4 linked regions of the Macaca mulatta genome follow. The protein of the gene in region 4 interacts with the protein of the main gene of each other region in a biochemical or structural test. Links are inferred from orthologs where the notes say so. Each region holds a gene or a part of one and is shown on either strand. Other genes may lie near its edges.

What was found.
Region 1: the proteins of DAB1 (region 4) and LRP2 form a complex in vitro, tested with the Homo sapiens proteins (2 studies listed by BioGRID). The link is inferred for Macaca mulatta from reciprocal best matches to the Homo sapiens genes DAB1 and LRP2.
Region 2: the proteins of DAB1 (region 4) and VLDLR form a complex in vitro, tested with the Homo sapiens proteins (2 studies listed by BioGRID). The link is inferred for Macaca mulatta from reciprocal best matches to the Homo sapiens genes DAB1 and VLDLR.
Region 3: the proteins of DAB1 (region 4) and LRP8 form a complex in vitro, tested with the Homo sapiens proteins (2 studies listed by BioGRID). The link is inferred for Macaca mulatta from reciprocal best matches to the Homo sapiens genes DAB1 and LRP8.

What each region holds. Positions count from the first base shown.
Region 1 is NC_133417.1:74,171,789-74,175,350, reverse strand, and holds part of LRP2 (low-density lipoprotein receptor-related protein 2), read left to right. Parts: intron 1-526; coding exon 527-738; intron 739-1,540; coding exon 1,541-1,725; intron 1,726-3,070; coding exon 3,071-3,299; intron 3,300-3,562. UniProt on the Homo sapiens protein: Multiligand endocytic receptor. Acts together with CUBN to mediate endocytosis of high-density lipoproteins. Mediates receptor-mediated uptake of polybasic drugs such as aprotinin, aminoglycosides and polymyxin B.
Region 2 is NC_133420.1:96,832,977-96,837,029, forward strand, and holds the start of VLDLR (very low-density lipoprotein receptor), read right to left. Parts: upstream 2,848-4,053; 5' UTR 2,655-2,847; coding exon 2,348-2,654; exon of another isoform or gene 2,102-2,347; coding exon of another isoform or gene 1,631-2,101; exon of another isoform or gene 677-1,630; intron 1-676. Other genes in the region: uncharacterized protein LOC106993776, read left to right, coding at 1,631-2,101. UniProt on the Homo sapiens protein: Multifunctional cell surface receptor that binds VLDL and transports it into cells by endocytosis and therefore plays an important role in energy metabolism.
Region 3 is NC_133406.1:187,326,723-187,330,284, reverse strand, and holds part of LRP8 (low-density lipoprotein receptor-related protein 8), read right to left. Parts: intron 2,240-3,562; coding exon 2,111-2,239; intron 1-2,110. UniProt on the Homo sapiens protein: Cell surface receptor for Reelin (RELN) and apolipoprotein E (apoE)-containing ligands. LRP8 participates in transmitting the extracellular Reelin signal to intracellular signaling processes, by binding to DAB1 on its cytoplasmic tail.
Region 4 is NC_133406.1:183,204,602-183,208,884, forward strand, and holds the start of DAB1 (disabled homolog 1), read left to right. Parts: upstream 1-1,460; 5' UTR 1,461-1,651; intron 1,652-2,025; exon of another isoform or gene 2,026-2,557; intron 2,558-4,283. UniProt on the Homo sapiens protein: Signaling adapter of the reelin-mediated signaling pathway, which regulates the migration and differentiation of postmitotic neurons during brain development.

The sequences.
Region 1 (3,562 bases), on a different chromosome or scaffold from region 4:
CAAACTTCAGTGGAGGGAGAGAAATGTCTCTGGCTGGAGAGTCTGTGCCAAGCTAAAACTTGGCATGCTTTATTACTGAAAAGAAAAAGAAGAGACGGGGTGTTGGGAGAATTAGAACTCTGCCATAGTTGAGAGCCTCAGAAAACAGAAATATTTAAGACATGATTCCTGCTGTCCAGAAGCCTACAATCTATTAAATAGTAAGGAAGATAAACAAAGTACAAAAATAAATACAGTAAAAGGAAGAATGTAAGCATAGTCTCCTTTAGACTAGTATTTAGAAACATTTAAATATAACCCAGGAAATAGTCTATTTTAAGGACTCATGAAAACCAGCTAACTATTAAGGTTAAGAATGAAGTGATTAAAATCATTCTTACGGGGCTTCCTCCCCTCCCCACCAACTTACTATAGTTTGGAATTACACCTTCTTTTTGTTACCAAAAGTATTGAATCAAATGTTTTAAAGAGTTGTTTTGTGTTTTCTCCCAGATCATTGAAATTTTTGCATTTTTTTCTTGAACAGCATCTGAGAATCTGCTGTTACTTGTGGCAAGTCAGAACAAAATTATTGCCGACAGTGTCACCTCCCAGGTCCACAATATCTATTCATTGGTCGAGAATGGTTCTTACATTGTAGCTGTTGATTTTGATTCAATTAGTGGTCGTATCTTTTGGTCTGATGCAACTCAGGGTAAAACCTGGAGTGCGTTTCAAAATGGAACGGACAGAAGAGTAGTAAGTACATTTCTGTTGACCTTTGGCCTGGCTAGTTCCCCTGTCTTGGGTCTGTTTGCTGTTATTCACCAGTGAGAGAAGGCCCTACCTCATCCGGGTAGCTCTCATGGTACCTTCTGGGCCACATAACACCTAAGAGACTTGCATGTTCATAACTATGAATTTATGGCTGTTTTCAATAGGAGGGTGGCCTCTGAAGGCAGATGTATGATTCTGAATTCCAGGTCAGTGATGCAGAGACCTCACAATGTCTTTAAGTTTCCTTTTGCAGTCTTTTCTTGTGGATGAGAGCAGAGGAAAATGCAGGAAAGTTAAGGGGTTGCTTTTGTTAACTTTAATTTAGTGATATTTCTCAATCCATCTCCCAGAATTTCAGTTTCTTGGCTCCTGATAGTTACATTTCCTCTGCCTCTTACAACTTTATTTTGTAATTATTGGTGCTTAATTAACAGAGATATTATTCTTTGCATGCAAACACTATAACGTTTCGTAATGTTGCCAACTAAGCAGATGGATAGAGCTTTTGCTTAGTTGCAAAAACTTTTGAAACCAAAACGAAGCTATGCACTAACCCAACAATGAAGTTATCTTAGAATATTCAGTGGGACAAAATCTTGTATACTTTTCTCGGAAAACCCTACTGTTGATTTGGTGGTTAGCTACATGAGAGGACAAAATTTTCTAATCCTGACAAGTAATTATAGGACAAGTTAGATGTTTTAATCTAGATTTTTATATAATATCCATGTTTGCATTCATTTATATGCTCTAGAAATCAGTCTTTATTCACTTTTGTCTTTAGGTATTTGACAGTAGCATCATCTTGACTGAAACTATTGCAATAGATTGGGTAGGTCGTAATCTTTACTGGACAGACTATGCTCTGGAAACAATTGAAGTCTCCAAAATTGATGGGAGCCACAGGACTGTGCTGATTAGTAAAAACCTAACAAATCCAAGAGGACTAGCATTAGATCCCAGAATGAAGTAAGAATTTTTTTTTTTAATTATGTTGCCTTGACATGGTTATGATGAGGGAAAAACAACAATAACATGATGTAGCTGATATGCATGTTGCTGATCTGCAAAATTTAAAATGATCCCTTGTTTAAACATGGTAGGTGTCCAACTGGGTATTGCTGTCTCCTTCATCTGAATTATCCTCTTCATAAAGTATATAGGAGCAATTGATTGTTTACTTTTTTTTTAGATCACATTGATTTATTAGCTTGGCAATACAGTTTTCAAAATGTCATATAATTAAAAATTAAGTTTCTGGCCAGACGTCGTGGCTCACACCTGTAATCCCAGCACTTTGGGAGGCTGAGGCTGGCGGATCACTAGGTCAGGAGATCGAGATCATCCTGGCAAACATGGTGAAACCCCGTCTCTACTAAAAATACAAAGAGAATTAGCCAGGCATAGTGGTGGGCGCCTATAGTCCCAGCTACTCGGGAGGCTGAGGCAGGAGAATGGCATGAACCTGGGGGAGCGGAGCTTGCAGTGAGCGGACATCATGCCACTGCACTCCAGCCTGGGTGACAAAACAAGACTCTGTCTCAAAAAAAAAAAAAAAAAAAATTAAGTTTCTAATTACTGCATGCAGTAATAGTCCATAGAGGGGCCAGTTTGATGTAACTTTGATAACTCATGATTATACAGCAAAAAAGCTGGATTTTTCTGCTTCAGTTTTATGTAGTTTATGAGAGCTCCCTTTTAAGTCATATAAGGAAGGCAGTTTTTGCCTACTGGTCCTAAAGGGAAGGTAGACAAATTCTCCCATGTGTTTGGAAATCTTTGAGGGCTTCTCTCCCTGAATTTACTTATATTTGATAACTTAGATTCTTTGCTGCAGGGCGGCAAATTAGGCAAGTTATGTTCAATGTGATGTTGACTTCCTAGATATTGTAAAGTATTACACACCAGTGAAATTTATGATGAATCCATGATGAAGAATAAATTGATTTCCTTATCTAAAAACATGACAGGGTAGACAAACAAGGACAGATGGATTTTTCTAGATCAACTATTTGTGGATTATAAACAAACATGAATTGGCATTGAGACGTTTCAATGTCATAATGTACTACATTATGACATTATGTATTACATGTTTTATGAAATATTATAAAAATACCCAGATGGGTTGTGATTGTGTTATGACAGTTTTACTTTGTGATGCTTAGAGGAAATAAACTCTGTGCACATATTCTGAACCACAGATTATTTATTTTAAGCAGGGCATAAACAGGATGTTGTATTATTTAAAATGACAGTTATTTTAAATATTTAAATACATCCCCTCCAATTGGTAACTCGTTTCCTTTCCCAGTGAGCATCTATTGTTCTGGTCTGACTGGGGCCACCACCCTCGCATCGAGCGGGCTAGCATGGACGGCAGCATGCGCACTGTCATTGTCCAGGACAAGATCTTCTGGCCCTGCGGCTTAACTATTGACTACCCCAACAGACTGCTCTACTTCATGGACTCCTATCTTGATTACATAGACTTTTGTGATTATAATGGACACCATCGGAGACAGGTGATAGCCAGTGATTTGGTAAGTTGGTGGTGAGGAAAACCAAATTAAAACTACAGTTGTGGATAGGTAGAAATCACACGAGTATCAGAAAAGCTAAAAAATTGATTTTTGTGTCATAGACAATATCAGGTCAATCCAGGAAATACCAGCAACAGTGAGACGCAGTCTATCCCATATGAATAACAGGAAAATGAATATTTTCATTCCAGTTCATGGTCAGATTGTGCCTTGTCCAGGGAGGATTTTTATAGCTCATGTGATTTAGTTGAGCTGTAGATGTG
Region 2 (4,053 bases), on a different chromosome or scaffold from region 4:
CTAGTTGCTAGCCATATATGAATAGCTCTCACAAAACCTTGGATTTTTAGACTTTGACCTTCAAGAATATATCATACCACAGATCTTAATCCTGACTACTCAGGCTGGAGGAAAATGTCCTAGAACCCCCAGCAATTGTGCAATCAGATATACCAACTTCTCAATAGCTTTAAGTTCCTTGCCAGAGTCTCGGTGCTCACCTGCCTTGTCCAGGAGTACCTGGAACAGCACCATGTGCCAGTGGAGAGACAGGGCGAGCGTAGAAGCTCCAGGGTAGGAAGTGAGCCCACATACCCTGGGACTTTGAACTTAAGACAGATGCCAGTTGGGATTGGTTTAGAGTCAATACCTGCCTCAGCCCAAATTTCCTCCAGTTCTGAAAGAATCTGCCTCCTTTCCTTTGAAGAATTTGTTTTTTCCATTGTTCATGGCATGTCAAATATTTCACATGTGACAAAGAGGATCCTCACCTGCCTAATACAAGGTGAATATCTGGCTTTGACTAACTCAAGTCAGTTTAGGTGCACTCCTAACATTCTATAAGGTAAAGTTAACCTCTAGTGGAAGGGACATGCAGCAAAAATGAAAGTTTTCTCTCACCTTCCTGGATAATTGTCCCTCCTGGTATACCTTAGTGTTTTGAAATGTTTCAAAAGGCATAATACAAGTCATGGCACTATACTGAGAAATCGTTTAATAAGTTAGTATTACTCATCCATTAATGATTAATGCTAGCGTTTGAAAACTCTTGTAAGCAGAGCTTTTCTAGGCTCTCAGGCTTGTTACACATCAGATTCCATGTTCACTACACATTCGTCCTCTTCAAAGAGTCCAGGCAGGGGAAGGCATTTGAGGAGCTTGTGGAGTCTCCTACTTTCCATTGAAAATAACACTTCCCGTGCTGCTCGCTTAGGAGTCCGCGGAACCATGTGATCAACCTAAACGTGATCGCACTGCCAGCCAATCGCAGAGGGCAGAAAGGCCAATCCCAGTTCACACCCTCCGGACAGTGGCAACTAAAGGGCAGGGGCATTCGGAGACGTAAAAACCCCAGGCATTGCCCGAGAGGCTCCTTGACCACAAACTTTAAAGTTCGCTCTCACTTCAGGAGCACGTGACTGCAGGCAGGCAGGGCCCCTTAAGCCACCTGGCTACTGGAGCTAGGGACTCTGGAATGGGTGTTTCGGGCTGGGGCGGCTTTCAGTCCCAATTCCCCGCAGCTGGCAAACAAGCCCCTTGGCGTCACATCTGAAGATCACTTCTGGGACGCGCTAGGATTCTGACTGAGTCCTCTTAGAAGGGCTTCCTGTCGCTTGTCCAGGAAAGTTATGAGGCCCCAAGTGGGAACGTGGCTGAAGACCAGGCAGGGCCCCCAAGCCCCTGCGGCAGACTCTAGGGACCCGACAGTAGTCACACCGCCCTTCTCAACAAGACAGGGCCACACACTCGCTCTCGCGCTGTTCCTTTGATTTATTGTTTAGAATGAAGGCTAATTACAGTCACTAGCCTAGGACTCAATTCCTCTCGAGGAAACGTCAACGGGAAGGAGGATCAGCAAACTAACCTGATTAAGTCTTCGTTCCATTCCCCCTCCCCATTCAGCTACACGAGAGACCCGAGAGGTTTCCAAATGCCGCCCGAGGCGTGGAAAAGGGAGGGGAGAAGCACCCAGAGGACAGTCCTGCGTAAAGCCCGCTCCTCCCCTACCCCGCACGCCGGAGAGGCGGCCCCGCGCCGGGGGAGACGCAGTCTGGGTGCGCAGACTGCGCACTGCCCGCGGCTCCGCGGAGCCTCCCGGCTGCCGCCCACCGAACGTGCGCCCGCTCACGGCCGCCGGAAGACTCCGAGCCCCGGCCCGCACCTGGCGCCCCGCGTCCCCGGAGGCCCTCACCTTCGCCCACCGTCCGCTCCCACACTCCCTGAGGTTCGAGGCGCGCGCCCCGGGCTGCCGCGCACGTCTCGGCCCTCTACCTCCTTCCTAACACTCCGCCTGGCAGAGGAGGCAGAACCATTGTTCAATGCTCAGAAGCCCACATACCTCAGCCCCTGTCAAGGGGGCGAGAAACGAGGCAAAGCAGCGGCTTTGGGGGAGGCGGTGTGAGGGATCGAAGACTAGTTCAGGCGAGGCGTCAGGACACCCCAAACCCCACTGTTCCCCAAGCCCAGCTCCCTTTAGCCGCGGCGCTGACAGCTCAGAGGCGCCACCACTGAGGGGAGGGAGAGAAGGCAAGAGAGAGCCGAGAGGCGCCTCCTAGGAGGCGGTGGGCAAACGGAGACCTGCGCCTCGGGGTCTCCCGGTGCCCCGGCTGGGTCCCGGCCGCCGGCGGAGGGGCGCGTCCTCACTCACCGGTTCCGGTGGCGCCGCTCTCCCAGGGCGCCCAGCACAGCGCGAGCAGCAGCCAGAGCGCCCAGCGCGCGGACGTGCCCATGGTGCCCGCCTGGATGGTGCCGCCGCCGCCGCCGCCGCCGCCGCCGTTCGCTCCGCACAACAAGTTACCAGCCCTTCCGAAAGGAGGAAGAAGGTGGGGGCGGGGAGGGGAAAGGGGGAGAAGGAGGGGGAAGGAGTTGGGGGGGAAGGGAGCGGGGAACAAGAGGGCACCCCCTCCCCTACAACTTGCACAATCTCCTCCCCACCAGCCAACCCACCCACCCATCCACCTCCCTGGGCTGCAGCAGCAGTGCAAGCCGAGCCTGCGGGCAGAAAATAATGCAGGCGCTGCAGAGGAGGGGAGGGAAGGGGAGGGGAAGGAAGGGAGAGGGGGTGGGGAGCCAAGAGCAGAAGAGAGGACAGAACAGAGAGGAGCCGGTAGCGGAGCACCCACACCGGCGGCGGCTGGAGCTCGGGGTGAGGAGCGGGGAGGGGGCAGGAGGGGGAGTGGTCAACGGGAGGCGCGGCGGGCGGGCGGGAGCGCGGCGGCTTCAGTCCTCCTTTCCCTCGACGCGCTCCTCTTACACGCGCCGGGCAGCTGGGTGCCCGCGCCGGGAGTGTGCGAGTGTGAGCGTGCGTGCATGAGTGACCGTGGTCGTGGCTGTGGCCGCCGCCGCCGCCGTCGCCACCCGGGCTGCTTTAGGGGCCCGGCTGCTCCGCGAGGCCGCCTGGAGCTCACGGGGGCCCGGGGCGGCCGCTGGTTGGCTCGCGCACCGCCCTCGTCTCCAATCCCCGGTGCCTGTCCTAATTTCCTGATCCAGGGAACCTGCCGCCGCAGCAGCTGTGCGCTCTCTACAGTCATTACTGTACCCTCCCGGCAGCCGCCAGCAGAACATGCAGCAGCAGCAGCAGTTAGCGCTGATGCAACTATCGTTGCTATTGCCACTGCCTCCCCACTAACGGGGCGTGCACCTGGGGGGTACTTGCAGTTTCCAGGGGCAACAATCATCTCTCTACCACCCTCTCCTGCGCCCCTGAGAGAGGATGGTAGGTAGCATCTTCTTCGGGCCTCCTCTCTCCACTCAGAAAGTGATGAAGCTGAGGGGCTCCAAACGTTTGGGGCGCTCAAATGTGGGGTTTGGGATGTCGGTCTCAATCGCACGCTGAGATGCCATTTTCCTAAAAACTAAATGTGTCTTTAAGTGAGAGAGTGTGTATGTTTGAAAGAAAGAGTGCGCGCGGTTGTGACTGCTCCTCTGTAATAGAACAAGACTAAAATAACCCAGCCTGGGATAAGGAGAAGGGAAATTGCTAGCGCAGCTTTGCGTTTGCTCATCAACGATTATAGTTAATTGCTAATTGCACAAAATGATAGTTTGAGGGCCTGTAATTAAAAGCTTAACCTTTTCTTGTTTGGAAGAGACGGGACCCATACGTTTATTCCTCTTGATATACTTTGTAACATTCAATTACAAGAATCGAGGAAAGAATAAAGGAAGCAAAGGCAAGACTCCTAGAAAGGACTGATTCTTCTTTTGTGCCTGACAGTACCTGAGTCTATAATTTGCTTTTTGTGTACTTCAGTTTTCTTGCACACTTAGCCCTGGTTGAGGTGCATTGTCTGCTGTGGTCTGCTAAGCATCTAACCAGAGTGGGAGGGCACATTGAGCGATTTCACTTTCTTA
Region 3 (3,562 bases), about 4.1 Mb from region 4:
ATAAAGAGTGATGTCTTCAGTTTCACCAGGTAGGTAGCTCGTGTCATGCGTTTCTGACAGCTCTACCAAGTGTCTGACAGTTGCGTTTTTTTTTCCCCTCTGAGACTTTTGAGACACTGCGGCATTAGCGGAAAAAGCACATGCTGCCAGTGCCACTGCCCCTCAAGATTACACTGACACCTAGATGAGCTCCCTTCCTGCCTGTCCCCACCCAGCTTGTGCATGTGCAGGGAGGGCGGACTCACTGCTTTCTGGGAGTTCCAATGGGAAGTGCTTTTTTTTTTTTAAATTTTCTTTTTTGAGACGGAGTCTCGCTCTGTCACCTAGGCTGGAGTGCAGTGGTATGCTCTCAGCTACTGCCACCCTGCCTCCTGGGTTCAAGTGATTCTCCTGCCTCAGCCTCCCGAGTAGCTGTTACTACAGGCACGTGCCACCATGCTCAGCTAAATTCTTTTTCTGTATTTTTAGTAGAGGTGGAGTTTCACCCTGTTAGCCAGGATAGTCTCAATCTCCTGACCTCATGATCCACCTGCCTCGGCCTCCCGAAGTGCTGGGATTACAGGCATGAGCCACCACGCCCAGCCCTATTTTTAAATTTTACTTGAAGATTTTGATGGCAAGGAAGTGCTCCTTCATACTGAGTTTTCTCTGAGGTTTTGGAGCCAACAGTAACTTTAAGATCCATATTCTCAGGCCTACATAGCCCCAGAGACCCTACTCCTAGCATTCACAAATGGAAGAAGCTCAGAGAGATGAGGGGTGGGAGGACTCTTTCTCCTCTGCCTAGGAGAGTGGGAGCTGTAGCACAGAAGCCCAGTAAGACCTGACACCCCTGTCTCCCATAATTAATGGGGAATGTTCCTATTCCAACATGCCCTAGTTGGAGAAGCTCCCATCCCTTGCAGTAGCGGCCTTCATATTGGAGGAATCATCTGATTATGGGGGTTGGTAAAGAGGAAAGAGGATTCTCATTGGCCAGTGAGTCCCAGCAAAATTATCACAGCTGAGGAAGTGAGCCAGTGCCATCACTGGGACTTTGAAACTACTGTTCCCAGCCAGGATCTCCCTCTATACCCAGATGCTTCCTGCTTCAGACACATCAAATTCCAGACTTAGAATCTTAAAGTGCGACTACTCAGACACCTCTGGAGGAGATGGCATTTTCCCTGGGCCAGGAAAGATGGATAGGATGCAAATATAGAGGCTGGCAGAGGGGACTAGGCAGCAGTGACGGGCAAGTGCCTGGCAAGCCCTCCAGGGTGACCGCCCATATCTCAGCCCAGCCGCACAGCCCAGTAGCGACAGCCAGTCTGTCTCCCCCATTAATCATGTGTTCCCAGAGGGACGACTGTGTAGGATTCACCTCACTGTCCCTTTCAGAGCCTGGCTTCAGGCCTGGCACACAGTAGGTGCCCCTCGAATTGAAAAAGTAAGGCCTGGCCATGCTCCTCACTGGCCCAGGCCCTGCTGGCCTGCTCCCTGGGAAGGAGATAATCCTGTGTTTGAAGCTCAGTGATGTGGAACTGTCCCAGTGGCCGCTTCCATCTGTCCCTGCCGAGGCTGCTGAGAATATCTTCTCTGCCCTGTGACGTTTGTGCTCAAATCTGATATTTCAGCAACAGTCGTCCTTGACACCTCAGGAATCCGTCCCCCTCCCCCCAGCACTGCTGGCACTCTGGCTCAGGCCACCACCATTTCTCCATACAGTACCCTCCCTGGTCCCCCTGCCCTTGCTCGAAGATTGGCAGACTTGTGGGATGGATGAGCAGATGTCAGACATGGCAAAAAAGCTCATGGGCTTTGCTGTCCAGTCCTGAATCTGAATCTTGGTTTCATCACTCAGCCCTGGGTACTTTTCCTCCCTTGTCTGAGCCTCAGTTTCCTCACCTATAAAATGGGGATGATAATGGCTGCTCATGAGGTGCTTGTGAAGATGAAAGAAGACAGTGTCTCCATAGTGTCTAGCCATTACTAATGTCCTGATCATTATCCTTTCCTCTCCACCTACCAAGCCCCACGGGGAACTGGGCCCCTCCCCAGAAGTGGCTGTCACTCCCTGAGGCTGCCTGACCATGCTTGGCAGACCCTGGGGATCTGACCCCAGACTCACAGGTAACACAGCCGGCCTCATCCGCTCCACCCTCGCAGTCCTTCTCCCCGTCGCAGCGCCATGAGGCAGGTACACACTTGTGGCTGGTGGGTCCACAGCTCAGCTTCTCTGCAGGACACACCTGCTTGGCTGTGGAGACAGACGTCCATGCATAGCTTAGCCAAGGGGGACACAGGGCATGGTGCCAACCAGTCCTACCACCCTGTTCCAGCCACCTGGTCCAAGGCCCTAGGAGTCCATCAGGGCTCTCCTGGCCCATGTCTCAGTTTCATCAGCTGAGAAGAAGCCTCTGTCTGTCCCAGGAGTTTCCAAATCCTAAATCTGACCCCACCACTTCTCTACAGAACATCTTTCATGGCCCCCTGGTCCCTGGCCCTCAAGTTTCTCTTTAATCCATTGACTCCTGCCTGCCTCTCCTGGCCACACCTCCCATCCCTCCAAACCTCCACTTTAAGTTCCGGCAACATGGAGCCACCATGCCCTGCACTCGTCTCTGTCATTTCCCAGCTGTGTGCTCTTAGGTGAGATATGTCCCAGCTGGGCCTCAGTTTGCCTTCCAGATCAGTGACTCCATGATTGGAACCTGTAAATTTAGAGGGTTCACCAAGGCCCCAACGGCTCCAATCGGCCCGCCTCTAAGCCCCCTCCCCGAGTGATGGTGCTGAGCCTGCTGCTGAGAACAGCTGCTGCATAGCAGGGCCCAGCGGGACTGCATAGCTATAATTACTGCAGCCGCAATCAGAGGCTGACTCAATCAGGGGCCTGAAGCCCCAGGGTTGAATCTCAATTTGGAAGAAAGAATGAGAACCCTATTCAAGGCTGGGGACAGCTCTTATCATGAGTTTCTGCCGGACCCATGTGACAGGCTCAGCCAAGGCAGATGCATCTCAGACCTCCGTGGTTGGCTCCCTACAGCCTTCCAGAGTGTGCAGGAGGCCCGATTTCTGTGGTCTCTAGGATGTGCCAGGCATGGTGCTAGACGCTTCCATTTAATTTTCACAATAAGCCAGCAGGGTGAGAGGATTATGTGCTGGCCTCCAACATGGAGGTGGAGAACATGGGCTCTGGAATCTGGCTGCCTGGGTTCAAATCCTAGTTCACTCACTCACTGACTATGTGACCTTGGCCAACAATCCTTATCTCTGTGCCAATAAAGTGGGGATAATACTATCCCTCATAGGATTGTTATGATGACTAAGTTAATGTCTGTAAAGCAAGCACCTAGAAGAATACCCAGCCCAGTGCTTACTAAATGTTACCTATTATGATTATCCACACATAACAGATGACTCTGAATTTTGCTTATTCATGGAGTATTTGAGCACTGCTGTGTGACAAACATGGTGGTAAGCACTAAGTTCTGGTCACAGAGCTGGTAAAGAACAGCGTTAGGATTGACTGAAAGTCAGCTGTGTCTGATGCCGGAGACCTGGCACAATCCATTTCCCCCCG
Region 4 (4,283 bases):
TTAATGGGTCGTGAATTTTGTAGAGAAAGGGAGGGTCTCTTGATGACTCTGTATGTACCAGCCCTGGACCTACTGGCTCCACAAGGAGTGCATTAGGCTAAATATTTTTAGCTCATTGACTCTGGAGGTAACAACCCTAAAAGCTTCATTAAATTTCCGTGGGTGAGTGTCTGAAGCTAAGAGGTAAAAAAAAAAAAAAAAAAAACAAAAAAACAAAAAACAAAAAAAAAAAAACCCAAAACAGAAAAGCACAAATCCATCGCATTAGCTTTGTTATTACACAGCTGGAAAACAGAAGTGTAGCCCCCAAAAGAGTAAGGGTAAACTTTTTAAGGAAGGGTTGCTTGCCTCTTGCTTTCCTTTTCTGCACCTGGGTCCAGCAGGGTGGTTTGTGTGCAGTGCGAATCTACACATTATCGACTTGATTTGATTCTCCAGGCTCCTCTCTCCTCCTGCGTTCAGGCCTCTGGAGACAGGTATGCCACACAACAGGGATTCCTGGAATTGAATCCAGTCTCAGGGTGGAAGAATGTTCAGAAGGACCCAATCTTTTCTGCGACTTGGTGTTTCTAGGATCTTTGTAAGCTAGGACCCTAAGCAAGGAGCAACCGACTGCGTACTCGCTGGAGCCGTCTCCCGCACAGCTTCGGATCAGAGGATTGTTTACTCCCAGTCATTCTAAGAGCCGAGTAAGGGAGTTGGGGGGAGTAAGCCGGAGTTAACCGCGGTCTGCATACTCTCAGGGGCACGGGTCTTTCCTAGGACGGAAACGTGACACATGCTAGCCTTTTCCCTCCCAACTTGCCCAACTTTGCCTGGGAAGCCTCAGTCAAAACAGGAGCCACCGAGCCTGCGCTGGCGGCTGGGAGCGAGCGCCCCCTCCTGCCAAGGGGCGTGGGGGCAACATGCCCTCACAGAGACTCCCCTCGTGGTTTCGCCCATAATGGCACTCCGTATATTTGGGTATGCGTATGTTTTCGAGGCTTGGATAAAAGGGTAGACCCTAGAGAAAAATGAGAGGGGCCAGGCGGAGCTGCGGCCAGTGGTGGTGATGGGGGAGAAAACACTGGCTACTTTGTGACAACCCCCTCCCTTACCCTCTTCACGCTGGCGAGGCTGGGGCGGGGACCCCTCGCTCTCGGCTTGTCTCTCCCGCTTCCACGCCAGGATGGAGAGAGCGCGCAGGGGCTCCAGAGGCGCGACTGCAAGCCGCGGCGCCCCCGCTCGCTCGCTCGCTCGTTCTTCCACCTCCTCGTCGCCACCGCGGCTCGGCTAAGCTCTCGGAGCGCGCTCAGGCTGCGCAGAGAGCGCCCCGGAGGGAGCTGGAGCCGCGAGGCCGGGGCGAGGAGCGCACTACCAGGCGGCGGCGGCGGCCGGGGAGCTAGTAGGTGAGCGGCGCCGCTGGGCGCCGGGCGGGTGCGGGGGCCGGCGGGGCGGGGGCCGCGGGAGGAGGCGGGTCCGCGCGGGTGGCGGTCTCCTCCCCCTACTCTGACGCGGGGCCCGTGGCTCCCGGGGAGGATGGACCCAGCTCGGCGCTCGCCCGGGCTTCCCCGGGCTGTAGAGCGCGCCTGAGTGCCGCCGCCCGCCGGGCATGGGTAGCCGCTTCCTGGGCGGCTGCGGCAGCGGAGGAGGATGCTCTGGGCTAGGCGAGGTGAGGCGCGGCGGGGGCGCGCGGCAACCCTTGAGTTCAGCGCGTCAGGTGCCCCGCGACGACGCGGCGCCGGGGAGCCAGCTTCGCTGGGGCCCCCGGCGCGGAGGAGGGCTCCTGGGACGCGCCACTCAGCAGTTTGGCTAGGGGTGGTGCGAGGATGGCGACTGCAGCAGTTTTTCGCCTTCTCCCTCCACTTGCTGGGAGGAAAGGGGTGACTTCTCTTTCTCTCTCCTGCCACCCACCCCTGCGCCCCTGTCTCCCTACTTCTGACCACGCGCGATCCTGTCTCCAGACTTGTCCACCCTTGACACGCGTCTCTCTCCAAGACCCCCTGCGCCCTCTTTCCTCCTGCGGTCTTGGCTCTGTCGGTCCTCGAGCCTGCCTTCTCCCGCTGTCCTGTGCTCCCGAAACTCCCTCCCTGCTTCTCTGGTGGCCAGACCCTCTTCCTCACTCGGCCGAACCCCGTTCTCACTTCCCTACTCCTCGGTAGCTAGGTTCGGCTTCGACCTCTCGAAAAACCGACTCTATCCCAGTAATCCCAGCCCTTTCGCGGGCACCGTGAGAACTGGATCCCGCGTTCCTCGGACCCCTGCCTTTCTTCGGATCTTCTGTGGACTCTGTTCTTTGCCGCTCGACCCCCTCCATCCACTCCCCAGCACCCCCCTGCCCACACGCCCAGTTAGTCCCCTCCCCAGCCCGCCTCTCTTCCTTCTCTCTGCTCCAGACGCTCTGACTTGGATGCAGAGAGCTCAGTTTTTTTTTTTTTCCTACCAGGGAAACTTTAAATCTCTGTGGTTCGGCTCGTAAGGCAGGCACACAAGAGGGTGTCAACCGCCGAGAGAACCCAGAGGCAGGGAGTCCGAGATGGGGGGAGGTCGTGTCGCGGCGTCTGAAAGGGGCCACTGGGTGAGTGTACAAAGTAAATTTCAAAACCAGGGTGACTGCTGCAGTCAGGACTCTGCCTCCGCTGGCTGCGTCCCGGGGAGTATTATTGTGACCCCTGGTGGGAGGGCGCATCTTTTCTCTGCACTTTTTAAGGCGCTTTTTTTCTCTGTTTTTGTTTTTTGGTGGTGCTGGTGGGCCTCATGGGGGCCAGTGGGCACAAGGGAACGCTGCCTGGAGAGGCGGACGCCACTTGGCTGCTCCCAGACCTGCCAGACTGTGTACGTTTCACTCCGTGTGAACTACCCCCAACCCCCAACTGCATCGCACAAGTCCTCATTGTTGGGGGTCTGCTGGGGCACTTCCGCTTAGGCTGGGAGAGTCTGAAGGAATGGCGTGGGGGTGGGGAGGCCGGGGGCGTTTGGCGACCGCTCGGCTCTCGGCGGCGGGCGGAGTGGAGAGCGCCGCGGCGCGGGCTTCTGTGCGCTCCGGTGTGTGTGTGTCGCGAGGCTGGGGTGCGCGCCCGCGTGGGTCGGTGTCTGCGTGTGCGTTTGGATGTCGGCGCACGCCTATGTTTAACTCCGTTAGAAAGAGGGGCGAGTGTAGAGCTTGCGGTAGCGAGAGCGCCTTTCTCCGCCTGGGAGCTGGACGGGGGCGAGCCCGCCTGCGAGCTGGATGCTCCAGTGCAGCTCCTAGCCAGCCAACAGGGACCGGGGGTGAGAATCCGCGCCGTCGTTTCCACCTCCTTCCTGCTCCCCTCCTGCTGGCCAGTTAAATACACTTTCAGTGTTGATAGTTTTGAATAAAGGCCGTGTGGAGATTCCACTACACTTTACAACACTTAACGTTTTCAAGTAATCATATAAATTAAAGGTGGCTTACGTTTTAGAACCCCCTAATTATCCAGTTCACGTTGGTACATTTATGTGCCAATTATAGGTCTTTGGGAAATCCATAAAATTATAAACCATCCCCACCCCTTGAATTAGCACCCATTGTTTTTGTGATCTCTGTGATGAGTGATTCTGGATGGCACCGGAACTGCGCAGGCACGAAGATAGATGGGGGTTCGGAGATGTCAGAAGGAGTAGGGCCCCCCGCCACCCCCGTCTCTTTCACTCCCTATCCTGACAAGGCTTGGTGACAATTCTGGGAACCTAAAGTGATCAAATATTTTCTTGATTTCCTATTGAGAAGGGCGACCTAATCAAAGCTGTATAAAAGTCAACTTCTAAGCAATCAGAAATTGTCTGCTGATGTCCTTGATTGAAACCCCAGCATTCAAATGGAGTATTGAAGAACTCGCAGAAAGGTCTTTTGAAGCGCTATTGTTCTTTTCCGTACACAGAGTCTCTCTTAAAGGTTTAGGAAGTTCAAAATGCAGTGGTTTGAAAGGACTGACTTTGTAACTATTTGGCAACGCTGGGAGGATCCGCAGGGATGAGAAAAGAGGCCGAGGTGGGAAGTGCAAATATGTTGTGACCATCTTCTTGGGAACGGTGCTGCTATCAAGTAGGAATTCGGTTCTACCCATCGAGTTGGCAATTAAGTCTCTTCTAAAGCAGATTTAGAAGATGATTTTTAGTAGTTTTTATTTTTTAGTGGTTTGCTTAAGGTCTGAATAGGCATATCTGAAACGTTTAATCATGTTCATTGTAGTCAACGATAAAATCTGAATAAAAATTACTTATTGTTGATGAAGCTCATCTCACAAGCTGTTTCACAGTATGTTTCATTTGCAAGACACACC